Linked DNA regions of Saccharomyces cerevisiae S288C. The protein of the gene in region 1 interacts with the protein of each later gene in a pairwise test. Each region holds a gene or a part of one and is shown in the gene's direction. Other genes may lie near its edges.

Evidence for each region.
Region 2: the proteins of TPO3 (region 1) and HNM1 interact in a protein complementation assay, tested with the Saccharomyces cerevisiae proteins (2 studies listed by BioGRID).

What each region holds. Positions count from the first base shown.
Region 1 is NC_001148.4:837,368-841,731, reverse strand, and holds TPO3 (spermine transporter), read left to right. Parts: upstream 1-1,954; coding exon 1,955-3,823; downstream 3,824-4,364. Other genes in the region: TDA6 (Tda6p), read right to left, coding at 1-466; NCA2 (Nca2p), read left to right, coding at 4,319-4,364. UniProt on the Saccharomyces cerevisiae protein: Cell membrane polyamine/proton antiporter, involved in the detoxification of excess polyamines in the cytoplasm. Recognizes spermine, but not spermidine.
Region 2 is NC_001139.9:361,569-365,585, reverse strand, and holds HNM1 (Hnm1p), read left to right. Parts: upstream 1-1,669; coding exon 1,670-3,361; downstream 3,362-4,017. Other genes in the region: 60S ribosomal protein uL30 RPL7A, read left to right, coding at 60-153, 622-1,251; RNA-dependent ATPase DBP3, read left to right, coding at 3,727-4,017. UniProt on the Saccharomyces cerevisiae protein: Sole choline transporter in yeast. Also transports ethanolamine.

The sequences.
Region 1 (4,364 bases):
TGGTTAAAAATACCTCGCTACTGGGGATATGCGTTTCCGTTTTGTTGCCAAATAAATCTACGTGGTATTCCGCCTTCAAGTCATGCAGTGTCAAATTTTCATGAGTGGATATAGAATTGCCGTTTTTATCTTTAATTTGGAAGTTTTGAACGTACTCAGCAATGTCCGATGGCCAATATTTCTCTTCGCTATACAAGTGCACTAAGGGACAATGATTGATGACATAAGATGGAATCTCTCCAGGCGTATGCAGACTTCTCTGATCATCTGTCACATCTGTGGAATTTAGTATGGGCGGCAATTGGCCGTCGACTTTGAATCTGTTCCGTTGACCCATGGCCATGTCTCTTTTCATCAAAGGCTCTAACGGATCATAATCTTTCAATGGTGGAAGGACAAGCGCCCGTATGACGCTTAGATCTACTATTAAGAACCATAACAATATTCGCGCTAGTACGCAATGCATTCGCTAACTGAATTGAAGTTTGCTTTACCTATTGAGTACTTTATCAAAGCTGCCTTCTTTGTCATTGACGGTAGCTTCAAAAGAAAAGGAAAGTTCAATTGTTAGTTCTATTATAAAGAAGAGAAATTTCAATTTTACATATTCGGAACTTTCTCTTTTTTCATTCGGCTAGTACAACTACGTAGAGAGTATATCTCGCATCCGTCGTATGAGTAACGAGTTATGCTTTCCTTCAAAAGAAGGGTTCTTCCTTTTTCACTTTTTTCTTCTTCCTATTTACACGTAGGACAGCGAATACGGAGTCATGAAACCTTAATAATGCGCTGTTTTTTATTTTTTCTAAGTTTCAATTTGATTTTGTCGTTTCCGTCATAGCCATATAACTAAATTGAGATATAAACTATTTTTATTTTTCCGAGAACGGCCACTGCTTTGGGGCATGCATTATACGATTTCTCGAGAATCCGGTGAAAGCGTATACCCAAAAGAGCAACATAATTGACTGACCCACAATTTGGTTAGAGACATGCTATGCTGATCCTGCATATCTCAAACAGGCAATATGATAACATACATAAGCAATCTCGGCTACGCGGATTTTGTGTGGGTCTGAAAAAAAAAAAAAAAAAAAAAAAAAATAGCGCGGAGCCGGGTGAGAACGTTGGACGGGTAACATAAAAACAGAGCTCTTTATATAATCAAGCATTCCCTCCATACAAAATGTGTCTGCAGCCACGTGCAAAGTACGGTCGTCGTGTGCTAAAGACCAGTAAGTACAGTCTAGCGGGCCTCTGACTAGCTTCTCTGTGCTTGGCGAGGGGTTTACTGGAGCCCAATCGGACTAGCCGGGCTTCGTCACTGCGGCAATGTCTTCGCCCAACGGATCGGAACAGCTCACTGATTTCACCCAAACGGGAAAAAGGAAAAACAAAAACAAAACAGAACGGCGTAGTTTCCGGCAGCCATGATGATCCCTGATCCATAGAGCCATTTTTTTCATTTATTTCCTAATGCATTTTGTTCATATTCTGGATCTGCGTTAAACGCTGTAAAACTGGCTCGTTTCTTTTATATATCTTGCAATCATTCGCTGCTCAACCATCCTAGTCTCTTTTTACACGTACCCTTTTTCCACTTTTTCTTTTAGTTTATATATTCTTTTCGCCTAAGAACATTTGTCTTTGTAATCTACTTAACTTAGCAATTGTCAGCTGTCCTGTTACAACCTGTTCTCCAAAGTGAATACAATAAGCAGTATTTGCTCTTTTTCGTCTAGGTGCGTTGATCTAATCTTCTTTTTATTTTTCTTCTTCGTTCAGCCTTTTTTGTCCTCACCGGTAGCGTTCACCCTAATTCTTTAATTGTCATACCCATAATTATACTACAAATTTCGTGGTCTAGTTTTCTAATATAACTAATTACTTTCTCCCTTCTTACTTCATTATTTTAATTTTGCATTAGTACTCCTCTAGCCAAAGATAAACAGAAATGAACAGACAGGAATCCATAAATTCGTTTAATTCAGACGAAACATCTTCGTTGTCTGATGTAGAAAGTCAGCAGCCGCAACAATATATCCCTTCAGAGAGTGGATCTAAATCCAACATGGCTCCTAATCAACTGAAGTTGACCCGGACGGAAACCGTGAAGTCATTGCAGGACATGGGTGTGAGCTCCAAAGCCCCCGTTCCTGATGTTAATGCTCCTCAATCTAGCAAGAATAAGATTTTTCCTGAAGAATATACTTTAGAAACCCCTACAGGTTTAGTTCCTGTCGCCACTCTACATTCCATAGGTAGAACTTCTACTGCGATTTCCCGTACGAGAACTAGACAGATCGATGGCGCTTCTTCGCCTTCTTCTAATGAAGATGCTTTAGAAAGTGATAATAACGAAAAGGGTAAAGAAGGCGACTCTAGTGGTGCGAATGACGAAGCTCCAGATCTAGATCCGGAAATTGAATTCGTTACCTTTGTGACTGGCGATCCAGAAAACCCCCATAACTGGCCTGCATGGATCCGTTGGAGTTACACTGTCCTACTGTCAATCTTAGTTATTTGTGTCGCCTACGGGTCTGCTTGTATCAGTGGTGGGTTGGGAACCGTTGAAAAGAAATACCATGTAGGTATGGAAGCCGCTATTTTATCGGTTTCTTTAATGGTTATTGGGTTCTCGCTGGGTCCTTTGATTTGGTCTCCTGTTAGTGATCTTTACGGTAGAAGAGTTGCTTACTTTGTTTCTATGGGTCTTTATGTCATCTTCAATATCCCTTGCGCCTTAGCTCCAAATCTAGGTAGTCTTTTAGCTTGTAGATTTTTATGTGGTGTTTGGTCATCATCTGGTTTGTGTTTAGTTGGTGGGTCTATTGCCGATATGTTCCCAAGTGAAACAAGAGGTAAGGCTATTGCTTTCTTCGCTTTTGCTCCTTACGTTGGTCCCGTTGTTGGTCCACTAGTTAACGGTTTTATTTCCGTTTCTACCGGACGTATGGACCTGATTTTCTGGGTCAATATGGCCTTTGCAGGTGTTATGTGGATCATATCTTCTGCCATCCCAGAAACGTACGCTCCAGTTATCTTGAAGAGAAAGGCTGCTAGATTAAGAAAGGAAACTGGTAATCCCAAGATTATGACTGAGCAGGAAGCGCAAGGTGTCAGTATGGGTGAAATGATGAGGGCTTGTCTGTTGAGACCTTTGTACTTCTCTGTCACTGAACCTGTTCTAGTTGCTACTTGTTTCTACGTGTGTTTGATTTACTCTCTACTATATGCGTTCTTCTTTGCCTTCCCTGTCATTTTCGGTGAACTATATGGCTACAAAGACAACCTTGTGGGTTTGATGTTTATTCCTATTGTTATCGGTGCTCTTTGGGCGTTAGCCACAACTTTCTACTGTGAAAACAAGTATTTACAAATTGTCAAACAGCGTAAACCTACTCCTGAAGATCGTTTGCTAGGTGCTAAGATCGGTGCTCCATTTGCTGCAATTGCTTTATGGATCCTGGGTGCTACCGCTTATAAACATATTATTTGGGTTGGTCCAGCTTCAGCTGGTTTAGCTTTTGGTTTCGGTATGGTGTTGATTTATTATTCATTGAATAATTACATTATTGATTGCTACGTCCAATACGCATCCAGTGCTCTGGCTACAAAGGTTTTCTTAAGATCCGCCGGTGGTGCTGCCTTCCCCTTGTTTACCATTCAAATGTACCACAAATTGAATCTGCACTGGGGTTCTTGGTTGTTGGCTTTCATCTCCACTGCTATGATTGCTTTACCTTTTGCATTTTCTTACTGGGGCAAAGGTTTGAGACATAAGTTATCCAAGAAGGATTATTCCATAGATAGTATTGAATAAGAGTAACGATTTTACGAATCGAGCATAATAATGAAAAATTATAGTAGTAGTAATGATAAAAACATAAGCAAACATAAGCAAACATAAGCAAACATATCAAACATGCATTCAAACCATTATCCGACAGTAATGTACATATATTTTTACGTATTTTACATTCTTTCTCTATTGTTCTTTTATCTATTGCTATCCTAAACAAATATATTGATTGACCTTCAAACCGTGAGTAACTTTATTAATTTATATGTATAGAAAAAAAAAAAAATTGAATTAGAAATTTGAACTTCTCAAGTTCATTCTTCTTGTACCTATGCGATGACTTTATTTTCGGTTTTTACATTCCTCCTCATTTGACCGAGGAATACGAATTTGATTGACCCCCACTCACTAAACAAAGGGTCGGAATTCTTTTCCACTTTAAAACTTAGTAATAACAACAAAGTCAACAAAATAGTCCTATTGCAAAATTGCAGGTTCCTTAATTAATATTCTTAAATGATCATCAATAGGCGTATTTTGAAATCTTTTGAAGAGATAAGTC
Region 2 (4,017 bases), on another chromosome or scaffold:
TAATTCATTCTATTTTCGGTTATGCTAACAAAAATATTTTATTATTTGTATTATTACAGAAAAATCTTGACCCCAGAATCTCAGTTGAAGAAGTCTAAGGCTCAACAAAAGACTGCTGAACAAGTCGCTGCTGAAAGAGCTGCTCGTAAGGCTGTATGTTAAACTTTTGCTTACATTTATATTTTATGCTGCAACACATTTTCTTACTGGGATATATGTGAGTTCACGTGCGTCGCCAATTTTGATAAGTATCATTCGAACAGTTGCAATATTCTCAACACCTGTGGTATCATTAGGCTAATGGACTATTTGTTACGTTCTGTTTGTTTTCTCATTTTATGATGAAAATCCATTGTATCCCAATACATATTCGACTAGTCATTGACGATGCTGTCGTAACTTATCACCATCTTTCGACTGATTATAAGAAAAGAAATAGAAAGTAAAATAGACCAGAGAGTTAAGGTATTAAGGTTACAATTATTGCCGTGTTTCCAGTGTCAGAAAAACCATTGAGTGATAATGCCGTGTAACAATTTTTAGCATAAAATACTGTGTTTTCCATCTGGTATTTTTTTACTAACATCAATTTACTGTTTTTTACTTTTTATTTTCATTTAGGCTAACAAGGAAAAGAGAGCCATTATTTTGGAAAGAAACGCCGCTTACCAAAAGGAATACGAAACTGCTGAAAGAAACATCATTCAAGCTAAGCGTGATGCCAAGGCTGCTGGTTCCTACTACGTCGAAGCTCAACACAAGTTGGTCTTCGTTGTCAGAATCAAGGGTATTAACAAGATCCCACCTAAGCCAAGAAAGGTTCTACAATTGCTAAGATTGACAAGAATCAACTCTGGTACATTCGTCAAAGTTACCAAGGCTACTTTGGAACTATTGAAGTTGATTGAACCATACGTTGCTTACGGTTACCCATCGTACTCTACTATTAGACAATTGGTCTACAAGAGAGGTTTCGGTAAGATCAACAAGCAAAGAGTTCCATTGTCCGACAATGCTATCATCGAAGCCAACTTGGGTAAGTATGGTATCTTGTCCATTGACGATTTGATTCACGAAATCATCACTGTTGGTCCACACTTCAAGCAAGCTAACAACTTTTTGTGGCCATTCAAGTTGTCCAACCCATCTGGTGGTTGGGGTGTCCCAAGAAAGTTCAAGCACTTTATCCAAGGTGGTTCTTTCGGTAACCGTGAAGAATTCATCAACAAATTGGTTAAGTCCATGAACTAAACTGGTTGAAGTCACATTACATATAACTACTTATTTTATCTAAGTCCTATATAGTTCTGTTATTCACTAGTTTGTATATTGTACCTCTAATTTATCTTATAATTTCGTCAGTAATGACTTATAATTGGCTTTATTTTCTTCTCTTTTTTTTCACATGCGCAGAACCTATATAACGAAAAAAAAAAAAATGAAAACTGAAGATAAGCGGCCTTGACTTCTCTAAACTGCCGATATTTCAACGAAAGTTAGCCAACTTATTTATAAAAGCCTTGAATACCAACAATTGGAAAGAAGGTGTCTGTGCTTATCATATATAGCTTGCATAAAGAAAAATTATAATATCTTCGAACTTCCATAGAAAGAATATCTTTCAGTGTTAACTGGCTCATTTACTCAGAAATTAGTATTTTGAAGAACGATGAGTATTCGGAATGATAATGCTTCCGGTGGCTATATGCAGCCGGATCAATCTTCGAACGCTTCTATGCACAAAAGAGACTTAAGAGTTGAGGAGGAAATAAAGCCATTGGATGATATGGATAGCAAGGGTGCTGTAGCAGCAGATGGTGAAGTTCATCTAAGAAAGTCATTTTCGTTGTGGTCAATTCTTGGTGTTGGATTCGGTTTGACTAATTCCTGGTTCGGTATTTCTACATCGATGGTTGCAGGTATATCTTCTGGTGGACCCATGATGATTGTTTACGGTATAATTATTGTTGCCCTGATTTCTATTTGCATTGGTACCTCGTTGGGTGAATTATCTTCCGCATATCCGCACGCCGGTGGTCAGTTTTGGTGGTCTTTGAAGCTTGCCCCTCCTAAGTACAAAAGATTTGCGGCCTACATGTGCGGTTCATTTGCTTACGCAGGATCCGTGTTCACAAGTGCTTCAACTACGTTATCCGTTGCTACCGAAGTGGTTGGTATGTACGCTCTGACGCACCCTGAATTCATCCCAAAGAGATGGCATATATTCGTTTGCTTTGAATTGTTGCATTTGTTCTTGATGTTTTTCAACTGTTACGGTAAATCCTTACCTATCATTTCATCTTCCTCTCTATACATTTCCCTACTATCCTTTTTCACAATTACAATTACTGTATTGGCATGTTCTCATGGAAAGTTCAACGATGCAAAGTTTGTTTTTGCCACATTTAATAATGAAACAGGTTGGAAGAACGGCGGTATCGCCTTTATTGTCGGTTTGATTAACCCAGCTTGGTCATTTTCGTGCCTTGACTGTGCAACCCATATGGCGTTTGAAGTTGAAAAACCAGAAAGAGTTATTCCCATTGCTATCATGGGAACAGTCGCCATTGGGTTTGTCACTTCCTTTTGTTATGTTATCGCTATGTTCTTCTCTATACAAGATCTGGACGCTGTCTTGTCTTCTACAACAGGCGCCCCAATCTTGGACATTTATAATCAGGCATTGGGTAATAAATCAGGTGCGATTTTCCTGGGTTGCTTGATTCTATTTACCTCTTTTGGTTGCGTCATTGCTTGTCACACTTGGCAGGCAAGGTTATGTTGGTCATTTGCCAGGGACAATGGTCTTCCATTATCCCGTTTATGGTCGCAAGTTAACCCACACACTGGTGTACCTTTGAACGCTCATTTAATGTCATGCGCTTGGATAACCCTCATTGGCCTACTTTATTTGGCTTCCAGTACGGCTTTTCAGTCCTTAATTACAGGTTGTATTGCATTTTTATTGTTATCCTACATCATTCCGGTTATATGTTTACTTGCTAAAAAGCGTAACATAGCTCATGGTCCATTCTGGCTTGGAAAATTTGGATTTTTTTCAAACATTGTTCTTTTGGGTTGGACTGTCTTTTCTGTGGTCTTTTTTTCCTTTCCACCAGTTTTACCTGTGACAAAGGATAACATGAACTATGTTTGTGTAGTTATTGTTGGTTATACTGCGTATTCGATTCTTTACTGGAAATACAAGGGTAAGAAGGAATTCCACGCTTTAGAAGAATCTGAGAACGAACAGGCTGAATATAGTAATAACTTCGATACCATTGAAGATAGTCGAGAATTTTCCGTTGCGGCCTCTGACGTTGAACTCGAAAATGAACACGTACCGTGGGGAAAGAAGTGAATTTATAGTGTTGATCAGTCGACCGTTATTTATTTTAAGTATATTATTTGCATAGAAGTAATAAAAGTGAATTTTTTTTAATGGTTTGTTAAGCCATTTTAGACGAGGGACTAAGATATTTCAACCTAAATATCCCTCAGGCTTTGCGCTCTTGAAAGCGATGTGACTGTAATTCAAATTTCTTGAAATATTTTTGCGGGAAAAAGATGAAAAATTTTTCACCTCATCGCATAAGAAGCAAATAAAAAAAAAATATTAATAATAGATAGGCAACAATATAGCAGCTCAGAGATATAGCTTAACTTCATTTTACAGCCTTTTAACGAAAGCATAAGTATTAACAGTTTGATATATAGGGGATTAAAATGACAAAGGAAGAAATCGCAGACAAGAAGAGAAAGGTTGTAGATGAGGAGGTAATTGAAAAAAAGAAGAGTAAGAAACACAAAAAGGATAAGAAAGACAAGAAGGAAAAGAAGGATAAAAAGCATAAAAAGCATAAGAAGGAGAAGAAGGGTGAGAAGGAAGTGGAAGTACCAGAGAAAGAATCTGAAAAGAAACCTGAACCTACTTCTGCAGTGGCTAGTGAGTTTTATGTTCAGAGTGAAGCACTAACCAGTCTTCCACAATCTGATATTGACGAATATTTCAAGGAA